5 linked regions of the Mus musculus genome follow. The protein of the gene in region 4 interacts with the protein of the main gene of each other region in a pairwise test. Links are inferred from orthologs where the notes say so. Each region holds a gene or a part of one and is shown on either strand. Other genes may lie near its edges.

Evidence for each region. The genes of interacting proteins can lie anywhere in the genome.
Region 1: the proteins of Trip6 (region 4) and Mettl17 interact in binary tests that used the Homo sapiens proteins (3 or more experiments, as listed by UniProt). The link is inferred for Mus musculus from reciprocal best matches to the Homo sapiens genes TRIP6 and METTL17.
Region 2: the proteins of Trip6 (region 4) and Snai1 interact in binary tests that used the Homo sapiens proteins (3 or more experiments, as listed by UniProt). The two-hybrid records come from large-scale screens. The link is inferred for Mus musculus from reciprocal best matches to the Homo sapiens genes TRIP6 and SNAI1.
Region 3: the proteins of Trip6 (region 4) and Lpar2 interact in a two-hybrid assay, tested with the Homo sapiens proteins (2 studies listed by BioGRID). The link is inferred for Mus musculus from reciprocal best matches to the Homo sapiens genes TRIP6 and LPAR2.
Region 5: the proteins of Trip6 (region 4) and Atxn1 interact in binary tests that used the Homo sapiens proteins (3 or more experiments, as listed by UniProt). The link is inferred for Mus musculus from reciprocal best matches to the Homo sapiens genes TRIP6 and ATXN1.

Annotation. Positions count from the first base shown.
Region 1 is NC_000080.6:51,883,536-51,887,641, reverse strand, and holds the start of Mettl17 (methyltransferase-like protein 17, mitochondrial precursor), read right to left. Parts: upstream 2,801-4,106; 5' UTR 2,697-2,800; coding exon 2,619-2,696; intron 2,492-2,618; coding exon 2,338-2,491; intron 2,255-2,337; coding exon 2,120-2,254; intron 745-2,119; coding exon 663-744; intron 420-662; coding exon 338-419; intron 1-337. UniProt on the Homo sapiens protein: Mitochondrial ribosome (mitoribosome) assembly factor. Binds at the interface of the head and body domains of the mitochondrial small ribosomal subunit (mt-SSU), occluding the mRNA channel and preventing compaction of the head domain towards the body.
Region 2 is NC_000068.7:167,537,013-167,540,994, reverse strand, and holds the start of Snai1 (zinc finger protein SNAI1), read right to left. Parts: upstream 2,801-3,982; 5' UTR 2,706-2,800; coding exon 2,624-2,705; intron 2,325-2,623; coding exon 1,797-2,324; intron 1-1,796. UniProt on the Homo sapiens protein: Involved in induction of the epithelial to mesenchymal transition (EMT), formation and maintenance of embryonic mesoderm, growth arrest, survival and cell migration.
Region 3 is NC_000074.6:69,821,398-69,825,364, reverse strand, and holds the start of Lpar2 (lysophosphatidic acid receptor 2), read right to left. Parts: upstream 2,801-3,967; 5' UTR 2,654-2,800; intron 1,812-2,653; 5' UTR 1,803-1,811; coding exon 1,070-1,802; intron 1-1,069. UniProt on the Homo sapiens protein: Receptor for lysophosphatidic acid (LPA), a mediator of diverse cellular activities. Seems to be coupled to the G(i)/G(o), G(12)/G(13), and G(q) families of heteromeric G proteins. Plays a key role in phospholipase C-beta (PLC-beta) signaling pathway.
Region 4 is NC_000071.6:137,309,399-137,311,441, forward strand, and holds the end of Trip6 (thyroid receptor-interacting protein 6), read right to left. Parts: intron 1,434-2,043; coding exon 1,255-1,433; exon of another isoform or gene 1,203-1,254; intron 1,008-1,202; coding exon 887-1,007; intron 777-886; coding exon 645-776; 3' UTR 501-644; downstream 1-500. UniProt on the Homo sapiens protein: Relays signals from the cell surface to the nucleus to weaken adherens junction and promote actin cytoskeleton reorganization and cell invasiveness. Involved in lysophosphatidic acid-induced cell adhesion and migration.
Region 5 is NC_000079.6:45,962,192-45,966,118, forward strand, and holds the start of Atxn1 (ataxin-1), read right to left. Parts: upstream 2,801-3,927; 5' UTR 2,624-2,800; intron 2,435-2,623; exon of another isoform or gene 2,414-2,434; intron 2,194-2,413; exon of another isoform or gene 1,383-2,193; intron 1,247-1,382; exon of another isoform or gene 1,138-1,246; intron 1-1,137. UniProt on the Homo sapiens protein: Chromatin-binding factor that repress Notch signaling in the absence of Notch intracellular domain by acting as a CBF1 corepressor. Binds to the HEY promoter and might assist, along with NCOR2, RBPJ-mediated repression. Binds RNA in vitro.

The DNA of each region.
Region 1 (4,106 bases), on a different chromosome or scaffold from region 4:
TAAGAGCACTGACTGCTCTTTCAGAGGTCCTGAGTTCAATTCCCAGCAACCACATGGCGGCTCACAACCATCTGTAATGGGGTCGGATGCCCTCTTCTGGTGGGTCTGAAGACAGCAACAGTGTACTCACATACAGTAAATGAATTAAAAAAATACTTTCAGATAGGAAACATCTCAGTGATTCTAACCTTTCTTAGGCCACAGGATTGTTTTCAAAGGATAAATAAAACCATTAGTGTGTGCATAACATCCCAAGAACTCCTACCACAGAAGGCTAATTTACAGAAAACAAAACCAATGGCAAAGGGGGCTGGGTTGGATGCTGAGAGACTCTCACCTCATGGAATGCCCTGAAAACTGCAGCAAAACCACCGTCCAATCTGGCTGCCATATAGATCAGACTCAGCTCTTCACTGTAGCTGTCAAACAACAACAACAACAACAAGTCAGAGACTCCCCCCTCCCCCACTTAGGAAATAACCTAGCCCCAGTTACCTTCTAAAGTTTATGAAACAAAAAATCTGAAACGATTCTTCTGGTTAGTCCTTCCACTTTCTAGTACAGAAGACTTCAGGAGGCTTTCTCAAACGCAAAGCTGACTACCTCTTCAGCTCTCCTCACGTGTAACATGCCTTCTTTGTACCCTTTCTGGAAGACCGTACCTGAGTTCCTGCCAATGGTAGGTAGTTTTGCGCAGGGCATGCAGTACTGCCTCACGAAGTTTCTCCTCTGTGGGAGCTGAGTCTAGGGTGAGAAGAACTGGAGGTGAGGACTTAGGAGAACGGCTTAGATCCCGTGAAGTACACGCCTCCCAGCCTTCCCCATTCCTGTCTGAGAAAATGCTCAAAGTCCGAGAAAGGTCAAAACTTCAGGGAAGAGGGATAAGACTGATGACCGCCACCATCACCAGAGTATCAAAGACTTTCCAACACTATCTTGTCTGTATATTATCTACCTAATAGTATCTAGACTATTAGAATAGTAGTTTAGTCAACTTAACCCATCCAAGTTTTGCGTCATAGTGAGCAGAAGCCTGATAAAAATGATTTTTTTTTTTTAAATATTTACTTCTTGTGTGCATATAGGTCCGAGTCAGTTCTCACCTTCACCCATTTGGTAGAAGGTCATCAGGTTTGGTGGTGAGTGCTTTTTTACTCTGTACCATCTCTCCTGTCCATGTGATAAAAATAAAAGCCAGGATAAGGGCACTTTTATAGACTTTTTCACTCTCTGACACTTAGGAGTGAGACATCTTCAATATTACCATAGAAAGGGGCTTGAAAATCCAAGTCTCCGGACTGTGTGGAGCTCTGTACCACTGGGCAAATTTCTACAAACACCTACAGTAGTGGCTTGAATGACAATGGCCCCATTTGCTCCCCAATGGCTCATCCGCTGGAATGCTTGGTCACCAGGGAGTAGCACTACGTGAAAGGATTAGGAGGTGGGCTTTGAGGTTTCAAAAGGCCATGAGAAGCCCAGAGTCTCGCTCTGTTCCTGCAGTTCCCGATGCAGATGCAGAACTCTCAGCTATTTCTTCAGCACCATGCCTGCCTGCATGCTGTCATGCTGACAACCGACTAAACCTCTGAAACTGTAAGCCAGCCCCAGTTAAAAGCTCTCTTTTCTAAGAGTTGCCGTGATTATGGTATCTCTTCAACAATAGAACACTAAGACACTACCCTGAACCAGGTACTGTGGGACGTGCAGGGAATACAAGAATAAAAGGCAAATTTACAATATGAAGTCCATAGTCTTAAAAATAATCTGAAATGTAATAATTTTCTATCCGAGGTGGGGTTTCGTGTTTACTGAACTGCCTGCCATATGGCCTTTACTTACCTGAATCAAAATATAGTCATAATCTCTTTGACTTGCAGCGGTGGAGGGGAAATTTTTTATAAAAAAACCCGAAAGACCAAAACTTCTGACCTTTACCCAATCTCCAAGGGCAACCTCTGGCCCAACCTACCTTCTTAGCAGGGCATCATCTAGTAGGGCTGTTACTACAGCATCAAATGAGAAACAGCAGTATTTATCTGAGAGATTTAAATTATTCTTTGATCCTAATTTCTCGTTGACATTTTAATCTGGTTTGCCTTTTAGTTTTAAGCCCTACCTTGTTTTTCCAGGAATTTTTTCTCAAGATACGCAGCCCGTCTTTGCAACTCCTCCGGCTCTACAGGTAAATGTCGGCTCCAGAGATAGTTGGTGAGTGCTTGCACCTGCTTCTCTACACTGCGCATGGGTCTCTCTGTGGTCACAGATGGAAAGGGTCATCGCTGCGTGCTGGCCTCGTTTGGTTTTATCTGGCTTCCCCTTCCCGCAGTTTCTCACCAAAAAGCATTAACTGTGCGGCGTCAGCCAGTGCTTGCGGCAGCTGGACGTGCGGAAGATGCAGGATGCCGGGATGCTTTCGATGGGGCTTCTTCCCCAGGAAATCCGACCCGTTGTCTACCTGGGACACACCGGGCACAAGGGCGGCGTATGCCTGCAGACAGCGAAAGAAACAGAATGGTTGCAGGTGCTTGCTGCCCGAGGCATCGCCGAGGTCGCTCCTCCTCCGAGAGATGTCTCTGGAAACCCAGTTCTCCGCCAGCAGAGGAAGATGCACTTACTCGGGACTGGGGTCCTCGAAGGCTGCGGCAGGATCTGCAGAACAGCAGCAGAAATCTCGGTGTCCTGGCGGTGGCCATGGCTTCAGGACACACCGGAAACGGAAGTACACATGCCTGTAACCCTCAGCCCAAGCAGCTAAGAGCATCTTCCGTGGAACTTCGACCCGGACGGTATCAACTAATGAGAAGAGGGAGTATTTGCTAACAGCCAATAAGCGACCTTATGTACCTTATGTACGTCTCTGCGAAGAAGGCCGTTCGTGGGAGGGGCTTAGCCTTCAGAAGGGGCGTGGTCTCAATGCTGAGCGTGGCTGCGGGCGAGACCAACCCGGCTTGGGCGTGTTTTGTGATGGGGAGGGATCAGTCTCACGGGTTAGGGGGGGCTAGTGGGGTAGGAGGGAGAGGGGTTGGGGGAGTAGGGAGATGGGGGCGGCGTGGAGGGGGAAGCAGTCTCACTGGGGTGGGGAGATAGAAGGGGACGTGGGGGGGTGGTAGGGAGTGGGACTTGGGAGGACAGAGGCGGGGGCAGGGCTGGGCGGGGGTGGGGGCAGGAGTGGGGCTGAGAGTGGGGTAGGCAGGTGAAAAGGAAAGTGTGGACTTTCTTTGTTTTCATTTGGTGCTGTAGAATTCTGAACCGTGGCTAGTTTCCCTTTGTGAGACGGGACAAGACCATAACAAAAATCAGATTTAGGCAGTCAACGATGAGCGCTAATAACTATTACAGTTTGCAAATTAATAAATATAAAAATTAGCTTACTTTTTTTTCACATTTGTTGTCTGCGAGTTTGCTCCAGGTTTTCTATCAAGAGCTTCCCACGTAGCACACCGAATTCCCGCCATCTTATTTCCACAAACATCTGTTGCTAACTTAATTTTTCACGTGGTTAATTTACCCAAGTTCATGAACTTAATAGGTGATAGCTGAATTAAGTGCTAGGGAGTCGAAAGTCAGAGTTACATTTTTAAACAATGCACCGTACTGGGTATTGTTGGTCCTTGAAATGCAAATGGAGAATTTTAAGCTAAATGTTCGAAGGGTTAATCAGTGTGTGTGTGGGGAAACAACAACAACAACAACAAAACCCCCCAAAACCTGGGGCTGGAGAGATGGCTCAGCGGTTAAGAGCACTGATTGCTCTTCTAGAGGTTCTGAGTTTAAATCCTAGCAATCACATGGTGGCTCACAACCATCTGTAAGGGGATTTGATGCCCTCTTCTGGCCTGTGGATGTATATGCAGCAGAGCACTCATACATCTTTAAAAAAAAAAAAAAAAAAGACTCATGGACCTGTAAATTCTTGGGTCCCGGCAGCAGTACTTTACCCAGCTGTGGTTTCCTCTTTAGCCTCTTGGGGGCAGAAGTTAGCTGACAGGACGAAGAGTACTCTATAGTCTTCAGTCCAATTAGAAAAGTTACAGGACCATATATGGGTATCTGTGTGAGCTGGATTCTTAGATGCTTGGTTTGTCTTATGTGGGTAGTAGAGG
Region 2 (3,982 bases), on a different chromosome or scaffold from region 4:
GCCTCCCGTCCCTCCCAGCCTGCTAGTCCACAGGCGGTGCCCTTTGGTTGGATTCTAGTGATGGAATTCGGGGCTGAGGAATGGCGCCTGGGTGTGCTGAGCCTCTGGATAGAGGAAATCTCAGCAGGGATCCTGCGGGATCCACCCACTCAGCAGGTATTCACTGAACAGAGCCGCTTTCAGCCCCCCTAGGGGGCACAAACCCACACAAGTCTTCAGCTACACAGGTGGGGCTCCAAAGCCCTGGGTGGTGGTGGACCTTGGCAATCTGTGGGTCCCTACAAGTAAGGGGTGTTGCCCCCTCCCTAGAATGGCCTAACCACTACCTGTCCGTTTAGCAGGGACAGGCGAACTGAAGTACTTAACAAAAGGGAGGTTTCAAGATAACACAGGGTGGGATGGAGCTGGGAGTCTCTGGGCTTGCACAGGAAGTGTAGACACCCCCCCCCCCACACACACACACACTCTCTCTCTCTTCACAGATCCCCGACCCCCAGACGCCTTCATAGTGTTCCTGGCAAGTGTGAAATCGGCACCAGGCCGGCTGGGACAAAGGCCACTAAGGGGGACACTGTACATGTGATACCCCCTGGATTAAAGGGGCCTGCCGTGCAATGAGCCAGCAGCTGCGGCCAAGAACAGGTGCTGGGCACCGCTGCCCCGTGCACCTGCTCTAACCCTGCAGGCCCCCACCCCCTGGGCTACCATTAAGACACACAATGGAACTCCTAGAGAACTGGGTGGTGCATTTCAAGGAGGGTTTTGTCTGAGCCATGCCTTTACATCAAAACAAAGTCCCTGGGGGGTGGGGGGTGGTCGGAGGCAGCCTAGGACCCTGAGGGCTTCAGCTCTTCCCCAAAGTAGAGCCCCACAGCTTAGCAACCCAGCCGGAGAGAGGCAGCCTGTTACACTTTTATAGGTTAAATCTGAGGCAATCCGTGCCTGGGGGGGGGAAACGGGTAATCTTATTCAAGTAATAAAGGTGTCAGTGAGACCTGCAAATACCTCCCTGCCACCCCCAGGCCTCACTGCCCCAATGCTGGCCACCACAAGAGACGCACAGCTCTACCCCAAAGCCTGACACACTTTCCAAAGAGCAGCCCAACCGGAACCCCCACCAAGCCTGGCTGAAGCCTTCCCTCACTTCTAGAAGCTTCCCACGTGGCCCAAGGCTGAGAGGACAGCAAAGTCATGTCTTTGTTTCTCTTCTTAAAAAAAAAAAAAAAAAAAAAAAAAAAAGATGTGTCTATTCTATTCTTGTCCTACATGGATTGGTATGTTGCCTGCATGTATGTCTGTATGAGGGTGTCAGGTCCTCTGGAACTGGACTCTTAACAGGCAGTTAGTTAAGTTGTGAACTACCATGTGTGCTGGGAATTGAACTCAGGACCTCTGGAAGAGTAGCCAGTGCTCTAACCACTGAGCCGTCTTCATAGTCACTGGGAAGTCATTTCTTAGTGGCACCTGCACCTAGCACTTCACTCTACAAAGACCCCACGAAGTGTTCTCTGATACATTTTAGAAACGAGGAAACTGGGGAAGTTCTCGACTCAGGATTCAAGGCCAGGTGCAGAATATCCTGTCTAGCAATATCCTGTCTGACTTCTACAGTGTGGGTTGAGCCCGGATAGGGAACACCTCTTCACTCCTAGCCTCGAACAGCAAGGTACAGAATGGAGAACAACCAACATCTACTTTGTCCACTGCTTGGCAGCCTTAGGAGTAAGTGTTGAGTCCCCCCAGGGTCTAAGGCCAAACAGCCCAGACTCAGAGCTCAGCTATGCACACTCACTCACCAGTGTGGGTGCGGACGTGGCCCTGAAGCAGCCAGGGCCTAGAGAAGGCCTTTCCACAGGTCGTGCAGACACAAGGCAGCGTGTGGCTTCGGATGTGCATCTTCAGAGCGCCCAGGCTGAGGTACTCCTTGTTACAATATTTGCAGTTGAAGATCTTCCGCGACTGGGGGTCCTTGGCCACCGAGAGCCTGGCCAGCTGCTTGGGAAGTTGGCCCAAGCCAGGGAAGGCGATGAAGGCCTCGGCCTCCAGGGAGGAGGCCGAGGTGGACGAGAAGGACGACGGCGCCGGCGAGGGCGGGCTGGGCGGCTGGGAGCTTTTGCCACTGTCCTCATCGGACAGCGAGGTCAGCTCTACGGCCTTGGGGCTCTCCCGCAGCGGGAGGGTGGCCCAGGCAACCGGCCGCACTTGGGGTACCAGGAGAGAGTCCCAGATGAGGGTGGGCAGCGAAGCGGCGGGGTTGAGGACCTCGGGCGGAGGGATGGCGGCCAGCAGGTGGGCCTGGTCGTAGGGCTGCTGGAAGGTGAACTCTGCGGGAAGAGAAGAGACAGCAGGGAGTCAGCTGAGCGGATTCTCGGGGCGCCAGGTGGGGGGGCTTCCCGCCCGCCCCTCCCCTCCCCCGCCCGGACTCCGCAAAGCTACCCCCGCCTTCGAGTCTTCAACTCCCGGAGCCTCCCCGTCCCGGGTCAAAGACACCCTCGGTGGATCCCAACTGCCAAGACCCGGAGCTCCAGATCCACCTGTCGCGCCCGCAGAGCCCGATTCTCACCTCCCCCCAGCACCCTTGGGATCCCCCCCAGCCGCCCGCGTCCCGCACCCCACCACGCACCCACACACGCGTCCTGCAGCTCGCTATAGTTGGGCTTCCGGCGGGGGTCGGACGGCTTCCTGACCAGGAAGGAGCGCGGCATGTTGGCCAGAGCGACCTAGGTAGTCGGGGTCACCGGGTCGCGCAAGGTCGGTAGTCAACTCCGCTCGCGAGGCCCGGCCGCACACTACGATCCCCTAGCAGCAGCAAATTCCTTTAAGTACCAGGGCTGGGGGCGTGACCGTACTGTTGGTCACGCCCCTTTGTCAAGGCTGAGCCAATGGCTGGCGGCGGCGCGGCCGGAGACTGAGACCGGAGCAGGTGCGCCTGGGCTGCTGGGGCTCCCGCCGCGTGGCGCTGAGATTCCGCTTGGGCTCCTCCCGGACCGGACCGCGCGGCTTCCGAGCTCCTCGGGCGACCCCTGGTGGCCGCGCCTGCCCCACGACGAGCGCGGTGCCCCGCAACATCCCCGAGCTGCTGACCTTTGGGCGCTGGGGAGCCAGAAAGTGCGATGATATGCACGCGCTTAGGGGTTCCTGGAACTGTCTACACAGCCCTGAACAAAACACTACCCAGGGATGCCCTACGCAAGGATGGCTTCCCGGCCGTGGGAGAGAGAGACAGACAGAATAAACAGAGGATTCGAATACTAAAGGGAGGTGTGATTTGATGAAAGGAGGTGGGGAGAGACAGCTGTGACTGTCAATGAACGGTCACCTGACAGGGGAGGGTGTCTATGACTTCCTAGAGGAAGTGAAGAAGCACCGAGGGGAAAGGCCCGGGGTAAGAATCAGTAACTTCTGCCTGTCCAACCTTTGAGAGCAGGTTCCAGGATGAGGTTGGTGTTGGGCAGACCCTGAGGGGTCCGATTTCCTGGCCTCGGGTCTTTGGAGGAGTTTGGACTTTGCCTTACAGGCACTGGGGAGTCACGGAAGGACTTTCAGCTGAGGACGGACGTGTTTAGAGTTGCATTGTGAAACACCAATAAGGGCAGGTGCGAGGCAGAGGTAGCAAGGACCAGGGCTAAGGCTCCCGACTTCCTGAAAATCGTGTTGGAACGTTCACAGGGAGGAAGGGTGGCCTCGGAAACCAAACCCACACCCCCATAGTATGGGGTTATAAACACCTATAAAGCAGAGGGTCTACGGAAACCTCTGGGGCACCAGCTAGCATCGAGTCTCTAGGCACTGGAGGTAACAACAGGGAATAGAATCAGACTCCCAGCACTGGGGGTGGGGGGTGGGGGAGTGGGAGGATGGTCAGACAACAGGCAACCATCGTGGAGAACACTGCCCTCTGGGTAGATTTAGTTCATCCATGAGTCTCCCTGAGTCCAGAGGGAGAGCACACAGCGCCCCACCACCACCCTCGTCCCAACGG
Region 3 (3,967 bases), on a different chromosome or scaffold from region 4:
TGGCACATACCCATCGCCCCAGGGGAAGAGGAATAGGAAGGTGTGGTGGCACATACCCATCGTCCCAGGGGAAGAGGAATAGGAAGATCAGGGCTCTGAGGCCTGCCTCAGCTACAGAGAGAGCTTCAGGTCCCCCCTGAACTTCATGAAACCCTGAATTAAAGAAATGAAGCCAGCCCAGTGTGATGGTGCTTATTTTAATCCCAGCACTCGGAGGTGGAGGGCAGGGGGGCACAGAGGCATGTATCTGTGTGAGTTTGAGGCCAGCCTGGTCTACCAAGTGAGCTCCAAGCCAGTCTGGACTATACAGTGATACCCAACCTCAAAAGAAAGTCAAATAAACAAGTAAGCAAAAATAACAACCAGGGCTAGAGAGAGATGGCTTTAATGGTTCAGAGTACCAGAGTCTCATCCCCGACACCTACATCAGACAGCTCAAAACTGCTTGTACTCTCAGCTCCAAGGGCCTAGGATGCCTCTAGCCTCAGCATGCACCCGCACACATCTGCATAAACCCAAATACAATCTCACAGTCACACAAACACACATGCACAAATAAAAAATAAATCTGAAGAAAGGCTGGGGATGTAGTGAACCACACCTTTAATCCCAGCATTCGGGAGGCAGAGGCAGGCAGAACTTTTTTGGGTTGAAGGCCAGCCTGCCTGGACTACAGATTGAGTTCCAGGACAACCAGGGCCTCAGAGACCTTATCTCACAAAACAAAACAACAAAACAAAACCAACCAGGGCTGAGGATGGCAACTGATTACAAGAATGCTAGCCTGCCCTATCCCTTGAGAGACAAAGGCAAAAAGATAAGGATAAGGTCATGAAGCCAGCCTGGGCTACATGAGACTCTGCCTGAAACACAATCAAACAAAAAAGACCGATAAATGGTTTCCTTTGAGAAACAGGTGAAAACTGAGGCTAGCCTTTTCTCCTCTTGTAGGCTGGCATTTTTACCTCTTTGGAGTCTGCTTGGGAAACACCCCCTCCCTTATTGCTTCAGGGTCCCAGGGTCCTATGGCAAGTCCCCTCCTAAAGCTATTGTCAGAGCACCCACTCACCCAGAATGATGACAACCGTCTTGACTAGGCTGAGTGTGGTCTCTCGGTAGCGGGGATGGCAGCTGACGTGCTCCGCCATGCGTTCCACCCGTCTACGCACATAGAAGAAAATTCGTGTGTAGACAGCTACCATGAGTAGGAAGACAAGCAGGCTGGATAGGGCCCACGCAGCCAAGTAGGAGCGGCTGAACAGGGGCACCATGCGTGAGCAACTGTCCAAGTCACAGAGGCAGTGCCAGAAGTGTGCAGGTAGCAACCCCAGACCCAGTGCAGCCGCCCACACACCCACGATGAGTGTGACCACACGGCCCCGGGGCAGGCGGCTGTGTAGCTGTACCGCCATCACACTGCGGTGCCGTTCCACAGCGATGGCCAGCAGTGTGGCCACTGACGCCGTGAGGCTGGTGTCCAGCAGGCCCTGTCGCAGGAACCAGCCTTTGATGGAGAGCCTGGCAGTGCGTGGGCCAGTATGGAACATGAGGAAGAGGTAGGCCATGCCAGCGAAGAGGTCAGCCGCAGCCAAGTTGCCAAGCAGGTAGTATATGGGCTGGTGGAAGCGTCGGTTGGAGGCGATGGCTGCAATAACCAGCAGATTGGTCAGCAATACCAGCACACTGACTGTCAGCCCCAGGGCCACCACCACCACATCTTTGGGGCGCCAGTGAAGGCTGAGCTCCTTGCCGCTGTTATTATAGAAAAAGCCGATGGTCTCGTTGTAGTAGCACTGGCCCATGATGGCTGCCTGTGGATACAGAAGACAGATCAGTGCAGGTGGCCCCTGATGGAAGGGCACTTGAACAAAGCAGTGGCCAGAGACTAGAATCAAGATTGGGTGAGTGCAACCTACAGGATCAGAGGCCCTCTGTGCAAGAAGTCTGTGCTGAAGGCCAAAGTGACCTTTAAAAAGCAATTTCTATTTATTTACTCATAAAGCAGGGTCTCTCGATGCATCCCAACTGACCTAGAACTTGCTTTGAGACCACACTGGCCTCAAAATCAGAGATCCACTAGCCTCTGCTGAATGCTGGCATAACAATTTAAAACGGTTTTCTGATCGGCTTTTCTTTTCTTTTTTAAATCTTAAGAACCCAGAGCAAATGCATCCACATTGCAATTCAGTGCCACGTGCCACTAATCCGTGACTGGGTTGGACACCTGTGGTTTTCAATGGGCGTGGGTGGGTTGGCTGGGGCAGCACAAAGGCGGAGTGAGCTGCTGGGGTTAGCCTTAAGAAGATCAAACTTGTGCCAGGGTCCTTGCACAGTGCAGAGGCCAGGGGGTGTGTGCACACCAGAGCGAGGTCCGTGGTCAACACCCGGAGGGCAATGCCAAGGCACTGAGGGGACTTAGCGCGAGCAGAGTAGACAGAGACCGCCCAGAAGTTGAGTTACAGGCAGGATTCCGCGCAAGAGCTCTGAAAGCAGTCCATTCCTGGGTGGGACTGAGGGCCAAGAAGGCCTCCAGGACAAAAGAGGGTATTGCAGACAACCCTGGGCTAGGAGAAGGATTGTGGAGAAGAGGGGGCCCCGCCTCGCTTTCTTCGGTGGCCTGCACCCACCCTAAACCGGTTGGTGTTGGTCTTACCTGCACATCCAGTCAAGCGGCAGATGGGGCTGGCTCGCGGTGGGTTGAAGCAGGACTGAGACCCATGGCCGGGCAACCGAGCGGTTGCGCAGCAGCGTCCGGTGTTCCTGGAGCCCCCGGCTGAGGAGGCGGGAGAGGCGGGACCTCAAAGCCACGCCCCCACCTGCCTTAGCTCTTGGCCCTTGGGGGTGTCCCGCCCCCTGGAAAGTCCCACCCCCACGTCGGAAGTGTGATCTCCTGAAACTGTGGTCATTTCACCGCCTCCCCACAGCCCCCTTTTCCCACGTGGGGCACCCTTTCTACTCCCCCCCCCCCCCCCCCCCGCACATCTCACGTGCTTGCCCTTTCGCGCCTTTGGGGCTGAGTCACCTGGCAGTTGAAAAGATCCACAGCGGGGGGGGGGGGGGCTCTGCGGGCGCCCCCCCCCCCGTTTCTGTCCAATCCTTTACCGAGCTGCAAGCCCCGCCCCACTGTTCCGTGGTCAATCTCCCGGCTGGACCCTCGCCCCACTGCTGCCGCACTACCTTGCTTCCCGAAGTCTCGCCCCAGCCTGCCGCTGGCTCGAGCCTGCAGCAGCCTCCTCCCCTGACCTCCCCCGGTTCGCAGCACACAGCCCCATTGTCCCGATTATCTGCACCGAGTTGTATTTGATTGTGTAGAACCGGATCAGGGACACTGAGCTGAGTGACTCATCTTGGGCTCCAGGCCCTACACTAATTGCCAGTAGGTTTCCCAGGGTGTGTTTAGAAGCCTTGGTTCCATCATCTGGCCCTTAATAAAGGGTTAAAGACGCTGCTCTTACTGGTGACTTATTGTCAGCATTCCAGCACAAAGACAAATGTGCAAGAACAGACAAGATTTATCTTATTTTATTTTGTTTTTCTGAAACAGGGTTTCTCTGTGTAGCCCTGGCTGTCCTGGAACTTTCTCTGTACACCTGGCTGGCATAAAACTCAGAGATCCTCCTGCCTCTATCTCCTGAGTGCTAGGATCAAGTAGAGGTGTGTGGCACTACCGCCCAGCGGATTTTTTTTTTTAAATTAAAATTTTCTTTTATTTGTGCATGTGCACAGGTCAGACAATTTGTAGGGATGGGCTCTCTCCTTCCACTAAGTGGCTCTGGGAGGTCCAACAAATGTGAGGCTTTACAGCAAGCACCACTGCGGTCAGCCCTCCTGCCGGCAGCAGGATATGGTTTTATTTGGAGGTTGTAAGAACACAGATTTAGCCAGCACTTGGGAGGCAGAGGATTTGTGGCTCACAAAGGGAGCTCCAGACCAGCCAGAGCTACACAGTGAGACTTAGCTTAAAACA
Region 4 (2,043 bases):
ATGCACCGAGCAGGTCAGCATCGTAAGTAAACATAGGATCCGAGATGATGCCTCCCTCTGGAGAATGGCATGGAAAATTGAAATCGATGAGCACACCAGGTATATTTGTTCCTTCTGGAGCAAGACCAAGATGAAGAAAACAGGCCACTGGCATCTGGCACTGTGGTGGCTGGTGCAGCCCAGATCTGCGACACCACTTCTGCTGTTGTATCTGGCATCAGAAGTCTGAAGGACTTGAAAGACCAGCAGAAATCCAATCATCTGAGACATCCCTAGCCTACAGTAAACAGGTTAATTTATGTAACAACAACAATAGTACAGGATGAGAGTTAATAAAAGATATGCAGGATCTCATTATGTAGCCCCTCACTGTCCTGGAACTTAGTATGTAAACTAGGCTGGGCTCAAACTCACACTCTGCCTCCGCCTCCTGAGTGCTGGAGTTCAAGCTTTCACCAGCCTCATCCTGTGAGACTCCAATAAAGAACAGACTTGGAAGTGCTTTTAAATGCTCCAGGGATTATTATTTCATGAAGAGAGGAAGAAAAGACAGCATTTGATGGCAAACACTAAGGGTAGATGTTGGGGGAAGTGACGGACGGACGGACGGGGGCTGAGATCCCAGCAGGTACTTCTCAGAGCAGTCAACAATCAGTGGTGACAGTGGCTGAGAGCTCTTGGATACGCCAGGCGCTGCAAGCCTTGCACAAGATGTGCCCATCCAGCGGGTAGCAGCCTTGACACTCTCCCTCAGAGGACAGCAGCAGCCCACACTCCTGTGAGAAAGAACAAAACCTTCATTAGCCTGGGACTTTCCCACAGTGCTTTTCCCCCAGCTTCCCGGGCTCTGCAAAGCTCTCGCTCCTGCCCAGGGACCCCCCCTCACCTCACACTTGTAACAGCCGATGTGGAAACTTCGATCCAGAGCAACAATTCTCACCGTCTCCTCCTGACCTGGTTCCGGCATGATGGCCCCACCACACACTGAGCATCGTGGGGCAAATTTCCTGCAGTGGAGGGGAACCAAAGAGGCTATCAGGTCCCTCCCTCCCACACCATCAGGAGACTCAAAATGAAGCCCAATGAAGGTGGAAGGGGCAGGGGTGGGGATGAGAAGGATATAAGAGATGTGTCTGGGTCTTGGGGAAGAAAGTGGTGTCAAAGAAAGAGAGCACCAGAAGGTGGAAACAGAAGAGGCAGACCCTGGGACATGAAGAAATAGGTCAGTGAAGACATGCTGAATCCAGGCAAGACCTGTGGAAATCTTCAATGCAGTGGATCTGGCTGGTGGCGTCCACTGTGAACGGGATGCCATCAAGACCACGGTGGCATACCACACAGGTGAAGCAACCAGGGTGGTACGCCTTCCCCATAGCCCTCAGGATTCGGTCCAGGATGGGTTCAGAGCATGTGGAACATTTCTCCAGGGTGGCCTAACGAAAAAAGAGGAAGGAAGGTCAGTGGAGGGAAGCCACTCCAGCCAGGAAGGAGTACTCTCTGCCCAGCCATCTGGTGTGTGTAGTTCCCTGCATGGGATTCAGTGGAAGGTGGACTTAGCATTTCTGAGGTCTAAGAGCAGCACTGAAGCCTCTAGACAAGGGATTTGGTCTCCACACACTTCATCTTTCAGTGAGATGAATCAGTAATGCCTCTGAGGAATGCTGTCAGATTTTCACAAATAACCTCAACTCTAAAATGCCTTCCAGCTGGCACAGTGGCACATATCCGGTTTCCTAGCTCTTGGGAGGCTGAAGCAGGAGAACCATAACTTTAGGATCAGCCTGGGCTACACAGTAAGACTCCGTCTGGAAGGAAGGAAGGAAGGAAGGAAGGAAGGAAGGAAGGAAGGAAGGAAGGAAGGAAGGAAGGAAGGAAGGCAGGCAGGCAGGCAGGCAGGCAGGCAGGCAGGCAGGCAGGCACCCACCCGCTTGAAAGGAGGAGCTGTCTTTCCCTCCTTCATCTAGTCTCCACAGTTAACTCATTCCTTAGCCTGGGGCCATAGCTCAGTTGGTAAAGTGTTTGTCCAGCATGCACGAAGCCCTG
Region 5 (3,927 bases), on a different chromosome or scaffold from region 4:
ATCAGGGCTGGAGTAAGTGTACAGAAAACTAACACCACAGACAGTATCTATGATGAGAGAGGCAGACAGGCAGGAGGCTTCTCAGCCTCAGCTTTATGTGGAAGGTGGCGTTCAAGCCAATTTATTTGCAAAGCTGCTAAAATATTGACTGATGCGTGGCCAGTTAGAGGACAATCAGAGGAGATTAAATGCCACAGCTAAGCTGTTATGGTGCAATCCCTTTCCAAGAGTTCTTGCGCATGTTTTTTCTTCTCTCTGGTGGCTACCTCTAGCTTCCCCTGGCATAAGCTTCATTCAAAAATAAAATAAAAATAAAAACCCTCGGCTATCAAACTGTCTTAGCTACCCACCCACCATCAGTAAACCAGAGGGTAGGCTTAACCCAGGCTTCTAGGAATGGCAGGGCTCTTCATAAAGCTGGACACGGTTTAGCAAACACTATTGCAAAAAAGTAACCAGCTGCGCCTAAAAATACCCAGCATGTAACTACCTTGTTGCCTACGATCTATAGCAGTGCTGTTTAAATATTAAGAAGAGCTCGCATTATAAAACAGAAATGTCACTGAGATGACACTACTAGGTTGCTACAGGGAAACATAGGGCATACACACATTCCCCTGCATACCAGGCAGAATGTGAGGTGAGAACTCTAAAGCATTACTTTTTATTCTGTAGGTGGTGTGGGGTCTTCTAATTTTACTAATTGTATCCTGTGGCTCTCTCTCTGACAAACTAAGAAACCTCTTCGGGGACAGAACCAGTTTGGAGGAGTTCCTACTGCACAACATACGGTAAACAAAATAAAAATAGCTTGCCTTTCTTGTTAGCCACATAGCGCATTATATAACCAGCTTCCGACTGGCTTCTTTTTTTTTTTTTCCGCCCTTACTACTCTTCAGCAATTTCCCAACCTTCCCCAAGTATTTATATTGCCCTCTTATCTGTAGGATTATACAGCAAGAAAGCAAAACAAAACAGGACAGCCACGGGATCGAACTAAACCCCATCCTCTTACCCCTGATCCTCCCCCCACCCCACCCCCCGCGCCCCTGGCAGAGTCTAGATACAGCACCCTACTTCCACCCCCCACCACTAAGGTCCTTGCTCAATCTCCCTAGAAAACCTGAATTGTTTCACCTCTTGCAGTCAGCTCTCTACGTGGTCTGAAATAAAATGAAAGCGCACAAGCCACAGAGTTGAAGGAGGCGGCTCAAGAGAGGTCGAAGCGCTGCAGAGTCAACCAAGGGACCACCGTGGACCCCCACCCCCACTCCCCGCTCCCCATCGCGATGGTCCTGGTCCCCGCCCGGCGCGCGAACACACGCACACACGCACCTACACACTCACACGCACTTACTCCCTCCTCTCCGACCCCGCCTCACCTCTCGCTCCGCCCGTCCGGCCCCTTCCCTGCCCCCTGCGGGACCGGCCTGCGCGCTCGGCTGCAACCACGTAGGAGGCGGCGGCGGTGGCGGCGGCAGCCCTGGCAGTGGCAGTGGCGGCGACTCGGGCCCCGAGTGAACGAGCCGCGGGGCTCCGGGGCACATCCCAATCCCCGCAGCGCCTCCTCCGCCGCCACCTCCTCCTTCCCCTCCTCCCGTCTTCATTCACCCTCTCTGCCGCCGCGCAGCAGAGCAGTCCCGGCGCAGGGCAGCGCCCGCAGCTCCTCCGCTACTGCTGCGGGCGCCGGCAGAGTCGCCGGGCCGGGCTGGGGCGCTCGCGGGCTCCCGGCTCCAGCTCCGGCGGTGGCGGCGGCGTCTGCTGCTGCTGCTCTGGATCAGGAAGCGGCCGCACCAACAGGGCGGCGGTGGCAGCTGCAGCTAGGGCCGGTCTTCTCCCGCTGCGCTGCGATGGCCCGCGCGCCCTTGCCTCCTGAGGCGCCACCTCTCCGCGCCCCTAGCCTCACGCAAAGTCCCCTCTTGGTCCCCTCGTAGCCCCGAGAGGCTGGCCTAGGCGGGGAGACCCCAAGCTCGGGGTTGCCTCTGTCAAGCTAGGCGACCCCGGGCGGGGAAGCCCAGCCCTCCCTCGAGCCCCCGCAGCGCTCACCGCCCCCACCCGGGAGGGGGGACTGGAGAGGAGCGAAGAGGGCAGCGCGACCCTCCGCGGCTGCCGCCTCCCCCTGCGCCACACGGAAGGAGGAGGACCGGGCTCTATCCGCTCGCCGCCGCCGGACCGGCAGCAGCCGAAACGGGGCGCCGCCGTTCTCCCCACCCGCGCCCCCCGCCCGGGCGCGCCCCCTCTCCTGGCGGCCGCCCACCCAGCCCCTATCTGCTGCCCTTGCTAGCCGCTCCTGCTCCCAGAGGGGGTCCCGAGCCGGGAGGCTGGAGCCGGGCACTAGTGTATGTACACACAGTCACACATACACTCGCGCGCGCGCCTGCACACACACACACACACACACACACACACACACCACGACGCGTCGGTTTCCTTCGCTCCTCTTCCAGCTGTTTTCCGTGCAGCCCATTGAGACTGGGGGAGGGGGGGTGTATGCTGGATGTTCTTTGGCCCCTCTCCGGAGAGAGCAGATTGGGGTGCGGGAGGGGGTGATTTTAATCTAAATCGGGGTGGAAGGGGGAGGGGGAGAGAAAGAATCAGAGGAGGAAAAAAAATAGCCACTTACTGTAAAGTGTAAATGGATCTGGGGTTGCGTGGGGAAGGGGTAACAGAGGGAGAGACACAGTGTCCTGCGGCTGCTGTAGCTCTAGCTGCGGCTCCACAGGGCTTGTTTTGGATCCCCCTGCAGTGAAACAGGTCCTGTACGGCTCCTCCACTGTAGTAGAAATGATGTCTGCGGTATACTCTGCTCTCTCCTCCTCCTCCTCCTCCTCCCCCCTCCCCTCCCTCCTCCCTCCGCCCGCCCTCCCTCCCTCGCGCTCTCTCTCGCGCTCGCTCGCTCGCTCCAGTATGTAAATGTGTAATAGAAGCCAAATATGGAGCAGTTGGCTGCCGCCGCCGCAGCTCAAGGATCCGACTTCATGGGGGGGGAGGGGGGGGGGAGGCACCCTCTGGCAGGCGGCCCGGCGAGCCGCACAGAGCACGGCGAGCGCACGGCGCGGCTGCCGGCCCGCGCCCTTAACCCTTCTATGCACCCGGGCTGGAGCGGCGCTCGCTCCAGGGGAGGCCGGGTTGTCTCTCCGCAACTGTGGCTCCGGATCCCCGACACCGACCGGAGGGGACTGTGCCTTCCAGGTTTGAGAAAGGGGCGGGGAAGTTGGGGCGATGAGGTCATTGGAGTGGTGACCGATCGGTGCTCGCGCGCCTCCCCGGCTCCCTGCAACCTAGTTGGAGGGGGACAGGGTGAGTGCAGGGTGCAACTCAGGCAACCTGGGAGACTCGCAGCGACGGGTGTCAGGATTTGGCTCCTACTTGGTAAAATACCCAAGGGGGCGGGGAAGTCGGCTGATTTCTAATTACGAAGTGCCCTTGGTGCCCCCCGGGTGAGCATCTAAAGAGGACTCATTGTATCCTTACTGTTAACCCTCCAACCCGCCAGCCCTGCGTCATCCGAGGCAAGGCCCGCGCCTGCTGCCTTGGCTTGCAACTCGGGAAAGTTCTCAGGCTTCCCCAGCTTGCACTGGCACCCTCACCTTTCCTGCCTGGACAAGCTGGCGACCTCCCGGTCCTCCTTTCAAATTCTGCTGGTCTCGAAATCTGCTGTGGGCATGGAACGCCTCAGCTCTAGCTAGCCCTGGTAACCGACCTCACTCACTCCTCAGGGCTAACTGTGGATCATTCATTTCATCGCAAGCGAGGTAACCTGTGCACTGAGCAGTCAGTCGATGGTGGTTCTCGGGGAAACCAAGCGAAGGAACGCTCCCCCACCCACCTTGTCCCGGTGGCTAAACGCAGACGTGGACTCCCCACCCGGCCCCCTCCGGCTACACCTCAGCCAAGCGTAAGCTCGAGGGAAGAACTCTTCTCTGG